2 linked regions of the Sus scrofa genome follow. The protein of the gene in region 2 interacts with the protein of the main gene of each other region in a biochemical or structural test. Links are inferred from orthologs where the notes say so. Each region holds a gene or a part of one and is shown on either strand. Other genes may lie near its edges. The genes, in order: CS and CRYAB.

Region 1 (6,108 bases), on a different chromosome or scaffold from region 2:
GACCTTTTTAAAGGATAAGATGTTAAAAGAAATATAGCAGTTAGGGTAGTTGAGGGAAGAACTGAAAGAGATCCTAAGATCTACTGCTAAAGTTGCCTCACTACTGTTTTAAATTTCACTCAAATCCTACTCAACTCTTTCACATAAGGCACTGAAAACAGGGCAGAAGGAATTACTCTGTGGCTTTAGGGAAATCCACCAAGTCTGCTTTCCTGCCTTCTGCCCACCTGGATTTCAGAATGAGGAATGCCAGCCTTCCCTCCTCTGATTATCTATTTCACCACTACTCACCTCGATGCCTCCCCACACCCATGCATTCACCTGCTACCAATCTAAAGACCACTAGGAAGAACAAATGCAATCATACCAACACTATAAAGCACATGATGAGGCTTTATTCTCCACTTTTCATCTTTGGTCCATCTAGTAGGCATCAAGAAATCGCCATTACTTTGGGTAGGCTGATAAAGTGAAGGCAAGTGCTTGAAAAAGATGAATGATTTGATTGCTTGCTCTTAAAAGTTTGGGGCTCTAAGCCTAACATTTCACAGGACAAAACTGACTCAGTTTTTTTTGTTGTTGTTGTTGTTTTGTTTTTGTCTTTGTAGGGCTGCACCCCACGGTATTTGGAGGTTCCCAGGCTAGGGGTCTAATCAGACCTACAGATGCCGGCCTACACCACAACCACAGCAACACGAGAACTGAGCTGTGTCTGTGACCTACACCACAGCTCACGGCAACATTGGATCCTTAACTCACTGAGTGAGGCCAGGGATTGAACCTGCAACCTCATGGTTCATAGTTGGATTTGTTTCCGCTGTACCACAACAGAAATTCCATGACTCAGTTTTGTTGAACCCAATTTCAGACTAGGATTTATGTAAGAGGTGTTCAGCAGTGGTGTAGGTCTACTGTAAAGGAATCATGAGTATCAATTTAAATGTCATGAAAAAGTCTAGAAATAATCTAAAAACACTTTTGGATTGATTTACTCAGTTACCAAACATCCTAGCTCAGAGGAACAAATCTCAATGGTACAAGCAGCAACTAAGGTTGGTAAAGTCACTCTGGCATTAAGACTCCAAAAGTTGGAGTTCCCGTCGTGGTGCAGTGGTTAACGAATCCAACTAGGAACCATGAGGTTGCGGGTTCGATCCCTGCCCTTGCTCAGTGGGTTAAGGATCCGGCATTGTTGTGAGCTGTGGTGTAGGTCGAAGATGCGGCTCGGATCCGGAGTTGCTGTGGCTCTGGTGTAGACCGGCAGCTGTAGCTCTAATTTGACCCCTAGCCTGGGAACCTCCATATGCTGCAGGAGTGGCCCTAGAAAAGGCAAAAAGACAAAAAAAAAATAAATAAATAAATAAAAAGAATCCAGAAGTTAACTGATGGCCCTACTCTAATTCCCAACCTAAATCACCTATGAAAAGACAGTATTTACAGCACAAAGCTAAGACACCCACATGTAATTCTAAAGCCACTGCCTGGTAGAAATTCATTCAAATAAACAAGAAGTCAAATAATTTAAGGCTCTGAAGAGGTGGTCTCTCCAACTCAAATGTTGATTAAATTACCTGACGGGGGTAGGGTGGAATGACAAAACAATGACTGGCATTTGCGTCTGCTAGTGAGATTAAAAAAATTTCTCAGAAAAAGTGAAACCACACCTAACCCTGAGAATTAAAGTGGGCAGAGGTCAGTTTTCTGGGGTTAAAAGACTATTTTTGCCTTCTAAAGCCTACCTTAATAGCAAAAGTAAAACTGAGTACCAATTAAGCCACAGGATAATCTGCAAAGCTCAGGCAGGAGCTGGCAATGCTGACAAAGTGAAAGGCTTTTTGATATCCTGGCTATACTGCTTAGATCTCAGGAAATTTCCACTCCTCAGACTATTGGGCTTTGTTAATTTTAAGGGTCAAAAGCCTTCTAGTGGCTTCCAATATACAGGTTTCTGGAATCCTTAGGTGCATCTTTAACAGGAAAGTAAACAAAACAATAATGACACTATAATTAGGTAACCTGGTCAACCCAAAAGCTTTCGGAGTTTCTCCAGAGGCTTAGGAGACAAAATAAATTCAAATCTAAATTCTAAAAGCTTTTTCAAACTCACCCTAGGGTTAGACAATCTGGTCTGGGTTAGCAGCTCTGGAATGAGCTAATTATAGTGTCCTGTATTCTGCCAAAACACTATCTAGAACTTGCTTCATTTCCCAAGAGGCTTCCTTACCCTGTTCTCTGGCAGTGGGAGAACTACTGTCAAATAAGACATGTATCTCCCAAATGATCAGCCTCCACTCTGCTGCTGAGTGCCTGAAAGAACCCCAGTGTAAATCCTATAGGCCTCACCTTGTCTGCCAGCCATGCAAGATAACACACAGTAAGCCAACACCATTCTAAAGTTTTCCTTTCCTTCCCTTCAGGTGCTGGCAGCTTTAATCTGTCTGCAAAAGAGAAAGTATAAGTTCTTTGCAGGAGTCAAGGTCACTTGTGGAACTGTCCCTCCTTGGATTAGAAGGCTGGGACTCCCCTCAGCACAGCAGTTTCTCTGTTTAAAGGGTCAAGTTACCCAGCGACAAAAGTAATTTTGGCAATATGAAATTGAAAGCACCATTACCTGCAACAATACTCCTATGGTCCCAGGGGTAGCAAAAGTCAAGTAAAAGACCCCACAGAATAAGAAGAACCTCTCCTAGGTAGAGCGAACTAATAACAAAACCTGAGTGAGTAAGTAGGAGGACCAGTCATGTAACCTTGGAATTACTATCTTCTGCCCTGGATCTTCACTTAGCCTGCAGTTTGGGCAAATAACTTTTCCGGTTCTTTCTCCAATCATATGTGATAATCATGAAGAAGGTTTTACACAGGCGCTCCACCCACCCAAGCTCCTCCTACATAAAAAGTACAAGAGTTCCAAGGACAAAGAGGACCCAGGGTCGCATTCCTCTAGCAAGGACTGCTACGGCTTGATCACTAAAGTAACTGGGTGGAAAAATGCAAGCAGGCAGTTCAGAAACTGACAAGGCCCTTTCTACAAAGCAGAAGCCGAAATTAGCTACTGCTCCAGCTTTGGTCCAGGGATAGAGTGAGCACACTTGCTCACCCCTGCCGCTTGTCTTACCGCGGCCACTTGTCTTACCCCGCCCCCTCCTCCAAACAGGCTCTTTTCCTAACTCCAATGGAACACAACACCTATGTTCTGCATTAGCGGCTCCTTTTTCCAAGGCCAAGCATCCGCCCGCACCCCCGACCCCGCCGCTCCAGACATGCGAGGTGACAGTAGGGTCCGGCCTCCCCACCCACCCAAGACCGCAAGCCGGGCGAGTAGCACTCCTTTCACCCCAGGGGCCGGAAGGCCAGCGAAGCACATGGCCCTGGGAGCTCCAGGCAGGGCTGGCGGCCAGCCAAGCGCAGGGTGCCTTTAAGACGCGCTGGAGTGCGTCTGGGTAGGGGAGGGAGACCCCGGAGCTTGAGGGCCTGCAGTCTCCTCAGCCCCACCCCAGGACGGCGCGCTCCCTCCCTTAGTTACTCACCTTGGCTCCGAAGAGCCGGGCGGCCGCAGTGAGTAAGGCCATGGCAGGCGAATTCGGAGATCTGGCGGGGAGGGAAGGAGGGAAGAGAAATGCGGCAGGAACGGGAGCTGCCGCCGCCGCTGCCCCAGAAGCCGCGCTGGCTTGGGGGGGGGACAAGGTTGAAAGGAGGCTGCTGAGGGAAAGGGTAGACGAGCCGGCGGCGGCGCCCAGCCCGGGGTCCTCAAGGAAGCCCCGCCTACCGCCCGGAACCCGCTCCCGCCCCCTCTCAAGGGCTTGCTCCGGGCTCGGCCATTGGTCCGGCCTGCGTGGGGGGCGGGCCCTAAGCCGTTGACAGCAGTTGTGATGGGGAGGATTGGACCGTCCGAGGTAGGCTAATTAAGGGTGTAAGGGCGGGGGGAAGCGTATAGGTGGCTAAGTATGTGCCTGAGACCCCAGTTAACTTCCTTCTTAGGCTTTCTCCTTAACCCTTATCCACAGTTGGGGTTAATTCTGAGATGGCTTTTAGTGAAAAAGCGCTAAGGACTTCGATTTTTAAAGGTCCTCGGAAGTCAACCCCTTAATACACTATCAATGCAAGTGGTCCTACTTCTTTGGCATGCTATCTTGAACAGTGTCTTTGGTCAATGACTTAATGGCCATAGAGGTGATACAATGTGGACAGAGGCAGTGATGTTAGAGTTAGCTACTTGGTGGAGGTCATTTGAGGCAAGCGGAAGCCATGGCATTGTAGATACCAACAGACCCCAGAATGTGGAGAAGGAAAGCTGAGGTAGGTCCCTGAATATCCAGTGGTTTTTGCGGACTCTCAGTTTTGTGTCTAGTGCCAAGAAATCCAAATCTTACTAGGCCCCCTTAATATGAAGGCTTCCGGTGCAGGTCAGGCCCTCTGGGTACAGATCATTAGTTTCAGTGCCACTCCAGTCACATAACCCCACACAGCCAGTCCACCCCACATCTATCTAGCTGAAAGATGAGCTTGGAGTTCCCACTGTAGCTCAGTGGGTTAAGAACCTGACATAGTGTCCATGAGGATGCAGGTTTATCCCCGGCTCGCTCAGTGGGTTAAGGATCTGGCACTGCCTCAAGCTGTGGGGAAGTTCACAGATGAGAGAAGCTCAGATCCAACATTGCTGTGGCCAGCAGCTGCAGTTCTGATTCCACCCCTAGCCCAGGAACTTCCATAACCCACAGGTGTGACTATAAAAAAAAAAGTTGAGGCGTCAAAAACCAACCCGCAACAAAAATCACCTCACCCCCCCCCCTTTGGCCAAGGCCTGCAGCCTGATTTCCTGGGCCAGGGATGAACACGTGCCACAGCAGTGACAAACTGGATCTTTATTCTGCTGTGCCACAATGGAACTTCATCACCTCCCTTTTTGTCACATCACTGCTGTCACTCCCATAGGACCTCCGGACCTTTACACCTATTTGGCTGTCTTCTATACACTTTTTATCATGCTCCCCAGAGACCGTTATAAATGAACCATAGCACTAAAATGACCTTTCATTATCTTTTTCTTCCTCTGCTTTTTAGAGCTACACCCGAGGCATACGGAGGTTTCCAGGTCTGTGGTTGAATCAAAGCTAGAGCCGCCAGCCTATGCCACAGCCACATGACACGGGATCCCAGCCACATATGTGACCTATACCACAGTTCAGGGCAATGCCAGATCCTTAATCCACTGAGCAAGGCTAGGGATTGAATCCACAACTTCATGGTTTCTAGTCAGATTCTTTTCCACTGCGCCACGATGGAAACTGCTTTCATATCATTCTTAACTAATTCCTCTCGGTAGACAAGAACTTAGGACCTTTCTACCTCCCCAGGCCTTTCATTGTCATTGACCTGAGGGCAGGGGGGAACTGACCCAAGGACTAAGGCACTTTATCTACAAACCCCAGCCCCAAGTGAACAGTTCTTTTATCTCCTCACACAGCAGTATCAAAGTTCAGAGGTCTCAGTACCATCTAAGCCAGGTTTAGATAGACCCAGTTTATAAAGAACCTCGTTTATAGCTTGGACTTGGAAAAAAGAGAAAGAATGCCATTTTCTCTTCCCAAGTTTCCTGGTACTCAGCGTTACACCTACCAACCAATGCACCTCTGGCTTGGAGGTGAGGTAGGTCTTAGCAAAGAACTTCATAAAGAAGAGCCCAGCAGTGCCTCAGAGGACTGACCTCAGCTATCAATTCGGTGACTTCAAAGCTCCACTGATCAATATCTGCTCCCAATTTAGCATCTCACAGAAGTTTTCCTCCTAACTCTGGAAGAGTCTGACCTGGTTTCTTCTCTCTGGTTAATTATCCACAGAGACTAGCCAGCATACTAGAGGACTGAACGCCAGTGCTCCAAGAGAACAGGAGGCATTCTCAGGATGAGGCTACCAAAGGGATAATTATTGAGTGACCATAAGGGTAACTTAGTTTGGAGCGCTGGCATTTGGAGGAAGGGTGGGGAACCATAATGTTTACAGTGTCCTGAAGCCTGTGTCATGAGGACTTTATGATTTGTTTTGAAGTTGTTCAGTCCTGATATCCACTGCTATAAGGCCAATGGGAAAGACCAGGGAGTTCAAAAGGAC
Region 2 (6,135 bases):
GAGCCACAGCTGTCAGCCTATGCCACAGCCACAGCAACATGGGATCTGAACTATGTCTGCGACCTACACCACAGCTCGTGGCAACGCCAGATCCTTAACCCACTGATGGAGGCCAGGGATCGAACCCGAGTCCTCAAGGTTACTGGGCGGATTCATTTCCACTGTGCCACAACCAGAACTTCTCCACAGATTCTTAAGAGGGGCATATAAGTGGATCTCAAGAGCTGTGTGAACCTATTCAAATTGCATGACAAATTTGGGAGCATGTGTATGTTTCTGGACAAGGATCTAGTGCTTTTGTTAGATGTTTCAAAAGGGTCTGAAACCCCCAAAAAGTTAAGAACCAACCACTTCAGAAGTTCCTTGGTGACTCAGCAGGTTGAGGACCCGGCGTTATCAATACTGTGGTTTGGGTTGCTGCTGTGGTGAGGGTTTGATCCCTGGCTGGGAATTTCCACAAGGCAAAAAAAAAAAAAAAAGTATCTACTACTTTAATGGAAGAATTTCAGGTGTCCATCACACCATATAGATTTATATTGGGGCAGGGAGGTCTTCTGGACACTCCAAATCATACACACACATGCTTTCTTGATTATAGAGAGTAATTAAGAGGTCAATCCTCCAGGCTGTCCCGAATACACCATTCCCGTCGTATTAAGACTCCTCTTACAAAGGAAGTTTCCCTAGCCGTCACCACTATACCAACAGCCCTAGATCCCCTGCATTTAGTCTTGGATTGGCTGCAGTGGTGCAGTGACTCCTCTCTTTGGGATGATACAAGACTAGAAACAAGTGCTTTCTCTCATAGGCAGAGAGGAGGGAGACTCTGTTTTGGTGACAATGGCAGAGGCTTCTGTGGCAGTGCCCCTATGTCTACATAACTGATCCCTCAGAATCGGAGACCATTTTCAGTGGACAGATCTTAGTGTGGGAAAACAGGGCCTTAGGCAACACAGAAGCCAAAAGCTGTTTTCCCAACCCCTACCCAAAACAGGCCAGACAGTCTGGAGACCCTTGTTTTTGTGTCTCTAATCACCAGCTCAGACAGTGCCCTCTGGGCTGTTTGGATGGCATATCCCTTTTCCCTCCCAGGATCACTCTCTTTTGTTGCATTGTGAGAAAATTACGGCCAGGAATTTGATCTGGAGCCAGTGTCAGCTTCCGGGTGTGATCTCAGCATCCAAGTGTGAGCTCAGGGTGCTGTGACGTTGGGTACATCGAACTGAGCAGCTTTTTGTCTAGCTGTCCTTTTTGTCTTTCCCTCCCTGCCCATCCCATTGTCCAGGTCACAGAATAGGGAGCAGCACAAACCAGGCCCTGAGATTTGGGTTTATTCAGCTCCACCCTAAACTAAACGAAAAAACGCTATGACACGTCCCAAGGGACCAAACCATACATTGTGGACCATGCACTTCACCCTTCCCCCAAGGATGCTGCTACCTCTAGGGTGGTGGGCAGCTGCTCCGTATCACCGTGGGGGCGGGGGCTAGCAAGGGGTTCAACTGGGTGCTGGGTCTGTGACATTCAGGGCTCAACGCCGGCTGCCTCCTCCTCTTCCTCTGGATCAGGAGGTGCAGGGAGCAGGGAGATGTAGACCTCATTGACCTCTGTGTCCAAATGTCGGCCACCCCGAGGCGCCTCCAGGTTGAGGATGCCGTCATGGGAGAGCGCGGCGCGGACGCGCCAGGGGTCCACATCCGCAGGCAGGACGTAGGTGCGGCAGAATTCTCGGGACACGAAGCCGTGGCGGTCCAGGCGCTGGGGGTGCCGGGCAGACACCTCCAGCAGGTTGTCCACAGTCCTCACGGTCACCTCATCTGGGGTGAAGTGGCTCACATCCAGAAAGGCCTGGAACTTGCCCTCACTAAGCCGAAGCTCCGAGGCCCCCGCCCTGCTGCCCTCCGCCGCTTGGGCTGCCCGTGGCCGGACGTAGTAGCCGTGGTAGAGGGTGGGGGTCAGGATCTCTTCTGGCAGGAGGCCTGGGGGGCAGAGGGGGAGAAGGAGAGAGGCGGGATGAGGGACGAGGGGTGGGAAGGAGGTGAACTCTGGGGAGATCGGGGGTGAGGCCCGGGGAGCGAGGAGGGGAGAGTCGGAAGAAGCAGGGGAGGGAGGGATGACAGGGACTGGACAGAGGGGACTGAGAAGGGAAATGGGGGCGGGGAGCAAACCTAACGCGATCTGGGGGGTCGGAGGGGAAGCCCCCACGCCCAGGCAGACGCGGCAGGTGTCAGCACCGCGGGCACAGCCCGCACCAAGGTAGGCAGGAAGGGGAGGGAGCCGAGCTTAGAAGGGGTGGGGTGGGGGGGTCTGGGGTGGGAGACGGCTCGCCCCAGGAGTTCACTTAAGCCTGGAGTGGGGTGGAGGCCAGGATCTTTGGGAGGTCAGCCCAGAATTTCAGGAGGTGGGGGTGGGAGGCAAGGGGGTGGTGTCCGGGCCGTACCTTCCCCGAAGCGCTGCTCACCCAGGCGGCTCGGGTTGGCAAACTCGTACTCAGTGGTGGCCGGGTGGGCATGTGGCACCGAGCGGCCCGACATGGCTGCAGATGCGGCGGCGGCTCAGGTCCGAGGTGCGGCCCCAACAGTCGCAGCGGGACCCCTCCAGCTGCCGCCGTAGGGCCAGGGTGCGTTCGGAGTGGGGGCGGGGTCTACACCACCCAAAATAGTGCCGAGCCTGGGGGGAGGGGCGAGGAGCGCCCGCGACGGCTGTGTGACCCGCGCCGCCTGGACCCCCGTCCCCTCCCTAGCACACTCTTCAGCTGTCACATCCCCGCCCCCTCCCTCCCCCCTCCCCCGGGACAGCTGGGGGTCCTGGCCGCGGAGCGAGCTGGGCAGGGGAGGCTGGTGCGGAGGTCCGGGAAAGGCCTCGCTGAGACCCTCGCGAAAAAGGGTGTACATTTCCACACCCTCCTTCTCCTCCTCACTTGCAGGCAGCAGGCACCCTACTCCATAAAACTCCCCTGGATTTAAGGTTCTGCCAGCCACGTAAAGCGAAAGATGCAAACAACTTTCTGCCCTTTCTTTGGGGGGTGCGGTGAGGGGCCTTTTGGTCTTGACATATCAGGGGCCTCTCTGAACCGGGGGCAACCCAGAGCACCACACGGAAACCTGCCATTGACATGCTGGTGATCACTGCTCTCCTCCAGGGCCCCACAAAGAGTTAATGTCCCTGGGGCCCAGCCTAGGAAGATTCCAGTTCCTGCCCAGGCCCAAGATAGTTGTTGGCCCCATTCCCTTGGCATGCTGGACTGGAGAGGAGGAGGGGCCCGCTGCCCGCCTGCTTGGGATTCCTGACTGGGTCCCAACTCCAGGGAAGGGGATGGGGGAAGGGTGCCATTGGGTGTGGACAGAAAGCTAGTGAAACAAGACCAGGACAAGCCACTGGCCAGCTCAGACGTGTCTGTATTTCTCTTTTCTTAGCTCAGTGAGTACTGGGTATGTGTCACACTGCCAAATCCCCGATCACAAGTCTCCATGAACGGGTGGTGAGCTGGGATAATAAAACCCCTGACATCACCATTCCAGAAGCTTCACAAGACTGCGTATATAAGGGGCTGGCTGGAGCTGCAGCTGAAGGAGCTGACCGGCCAGCTGACCCTCTACATCCACCCAGCCGCCATGGACATTGCCATCCACCACCCCTGGATCCGCCGCCCCTTCTTTCCTTTCCACTCTCCCAGCCGCCTCTTTGACCAGTTCTTTGGAGAACACCTGTTGGAGTCTGATCTCTTCCCAGCTTCTACTTCCCTGAGCCCCTTCTACTTTCGGCCGCCCTCGTTCCTGCGGGCACCCAGCTGGATTGACACTGGGCTCTCAGAGGTAAGTATCCCCTCTGCCCCGACAGGAGAGTGCATTCTGGAGCCTCCTGGAAGCGTCCCCATCCACTTTCCTCTTCCTCCCAGCCTAAATGTGGCTGTGTCTAAGGGTCTCAAGGGTTTTAGGCACTTGTGTGTCCTGCAGTGGAGAAAGATGGGGTTCCTAGTTCCTCCCCTCCCCCCCACGCAGGCACCTGTTTGGATTTGACGCCCCTGTGTATTCCACTTCTTATATTTTCCCCGTGTGCTACAAAGGTCATTCTCTATCCTCTTCTTCTAAGTAGGGTGTCCCTTTCCAGTTTGGTTCATAATGATCTACAGTGCAAGGGCTGCCTTCAGACTCCTGCTCACCTCTTCTAACACCTCACACTCCTCACAAATACTATCATTTCAAGTTTCAGAGCCAGGAGACAGTCCTACCTCATCCCTGCTGCGTGCAGCTGGAGACAGCAACCACTATTGTCTTCCACTCCCTCTTCTGTGATTTTCCAGGTTTCTCAAGGCTGTGACAGGGCACTGGCCTGGGTCCGAGGCTCACGAGGAAAGAATATAGGTCCAGTTTTCTGACCCCCCAACTTGTCCTAGGAGTGTGGGAAAATGAGGGGAACAGATAAGGTTGACAGAAGCTGTCACAGATAACACTCTGGTTTAAAATTTTTCAAGTGTAAATAAACAGGAGCTGAGTGGACAAGGGCTTTGGAAGGACAATCAGAGCCAGCAGAACATTCCAGATTGAGTGGGTGGGAAACTTGGCAGAGACCTGAGCAAGAAGAAGCAGCCTTTGTACCACAGACAAATGACAAGGCCAGGCATTGGGTCAGAGAAGCAGCAGAAGCCATGCCCAGACCCATCCTTGCGATTTATCCCCTGAGTGGCCTTTTTCCCTGTAAATAAAGTTTGGGCCTGATGACCAAGTGGTGTGCCCCCTGAACCAGAGAACCATGTTTATTCAAAAAAGGATTTTTAGCTTAAAAGGGGAGGACCAACTACCCGAGCAGAAAGCAAGTCTGCAGAATGATGAGGCTGTATTAGTGTAATCCCCATTCTTACCACTTTTTCTGCTACCCCTGCCCCACCTTGCTGTTTTTAGATGCGTCTGGAGAAGGACAGATTCTCTGTCAACCTGGATGTGAAGCACTTCTCCCCCGAGGAACTCAAGGTCAAGGTGTTGGGAGATGTGATTGAGGTGCACGGCAAACATGAAGAGCGCCAGGTATGTAGCTGGCTTTCTTTTCTGCTCATTCACCCAAGGTGTACATTGTACCAGATGCTGCCATGAGCCTCTGAAGCTGGCAACATTTCAGTCCTAAGCCATAGAGTCTAGAACAGGGATAGATCTGTTGTTATTGTTATTTTGGCTAGAGAAGTGATCTTTGTTTTGACTTGACTGCCTTAGATAGGATAGATGGAAGGTTAACTTCTCATTTAAGTCAGTGGCTCTCAACCTGGCCATGTTAGAATTACCAGCGGAACTAAAAAAAAAAAAAAAAAAAAAATCCCAATCCTCAGGCATATCCCAGGTCAGTTACATCAGACATTTTAGGGATGGACTCGGGCATCAGATTTTTTTTTTTTTTTTTTGGTCTTTTTAGGGCCTCACCTATAGCATGTGGACGTGCCCAGGTTAGGGGTCAAGGCTGAATTAGAGCTGCAGCCCCTGGCCCACGTCACAGCCACAGCAAGCCAGATCCAAGCCATGTCTGCGATTTACACCACAGCTCACCACAGTGCCGTATCCTTAACCCACTGAGTGAGGCCAGGGATAGAATCGCATGTTCATGCATACTAGTCGGGTGGTTACCGCTGAGCCACAATGGGAACTTCCAGGCATCAGATTTTAAAAGCTCCCTAGGGAATTCTAACATACCAACAGTCAAGGTTAAAGACCACTGATTTAGGAATAGTGATTGTCAGAGATCTGATTGCTTTATATAATTACCTTAACTGCTTACATCTGGAAGGCCCTGGCATTTGGGACTTTTAGATGTTCAGGAATTCATTTCTCTTTAGCTCATCTTAATGTGAACTACTTGGTTTGCCTAGATTTCAGAGCTATACTCAGCTCCTAATACATGAGACCTATGTGGAAATCAGTTAATTGAGAGCCTGTCTGGATAAATGCTTGAGATACAGCAGGGATTAGATTAACAGTTAACTAACCTGTAGCAGAATTATAAAGACTGGAATAGTTTCTCATTACTCTCTGGGAGAGTTTTTCAATGAGTTTGCTTCTTACCAATTAGTTATAACTCAGAAACTCGTACATCAAATAATATAGTTTGAGGTCCTCAGGCTCTTTCAGTTTTGCTTATATCATTTAACAT

The links.
Region 1: the proteins of CRYAB (region 2) and CS form a complex in vitro, tested with the Homo sapiens proteins (3 studies listed by BioGRID). The link is inferred for Sus scrofa from reciprocal best matches to the Homo sapiens genes CRYAB and CS.

What each region holds. Positions count from the first base shown.
Region 1 is NC_010447.5:21,696,989-21,703,096, forward strand, and holds the start of CS (citrate synthase, mitochondrial precursor), read right to left. Parts: upstream 3,576-6,108; 5' UTR 3,570-3,575; coding exon 3,528-3,569; intron 3,380-3,527; exon of another isoform or gene 3,365-3,379; coding exon of another isoform or gene 3,298-3,364; intron 2,439-3,297; coding exon of another isoform or gene 2,344-2,438; intron 1-2,343. UniProt on the Homo sapiens protein: Key enzyme of the Krebs tricarboxylic acid cycle which catalyzes the synthesis of citrate from acetyl coenzyme A and oxaloacetate.
Region 2 is NC_010451.4:39,639,284-39,645,418, reverse strand, and holds the start of CRYAB (alpha-crystallin B chain), read left to right. Parts: upstream 1-1,979; 5' UTR 1,980-2,256; intron 2,257-2,440; coding exon of another isoform or gene 2,441-2,534; exon of another isoform or gene 2,535-2,670; intron 2,671-3,416; 5' UTR 3,417-3,431; exon of another isoform or gene 3,432-3,521; 5' UTR 3,522-3,614; coding exon 3,615-3,815; exon of another isoform or gene 3,816-4,345; coding exon of another isoform or gene 4,346-4,392; exon of another isoform or gene 4,393-4,901; coding exon 4,902-5,024; exon of another isoform or gene 5,025-5,302; intron 5,303-6,135. Other genes in the region: HSPB2 (heat shock protein beta-2), read right to left, coding at 1,525-1,979, 2,441-2,534. UniProt on the Homo sapiens protein: May contribute to the transparency and refractive index of the lens. Has chaperone-like activity, preventing aggregation of various proteins under a wide range of stress conditions.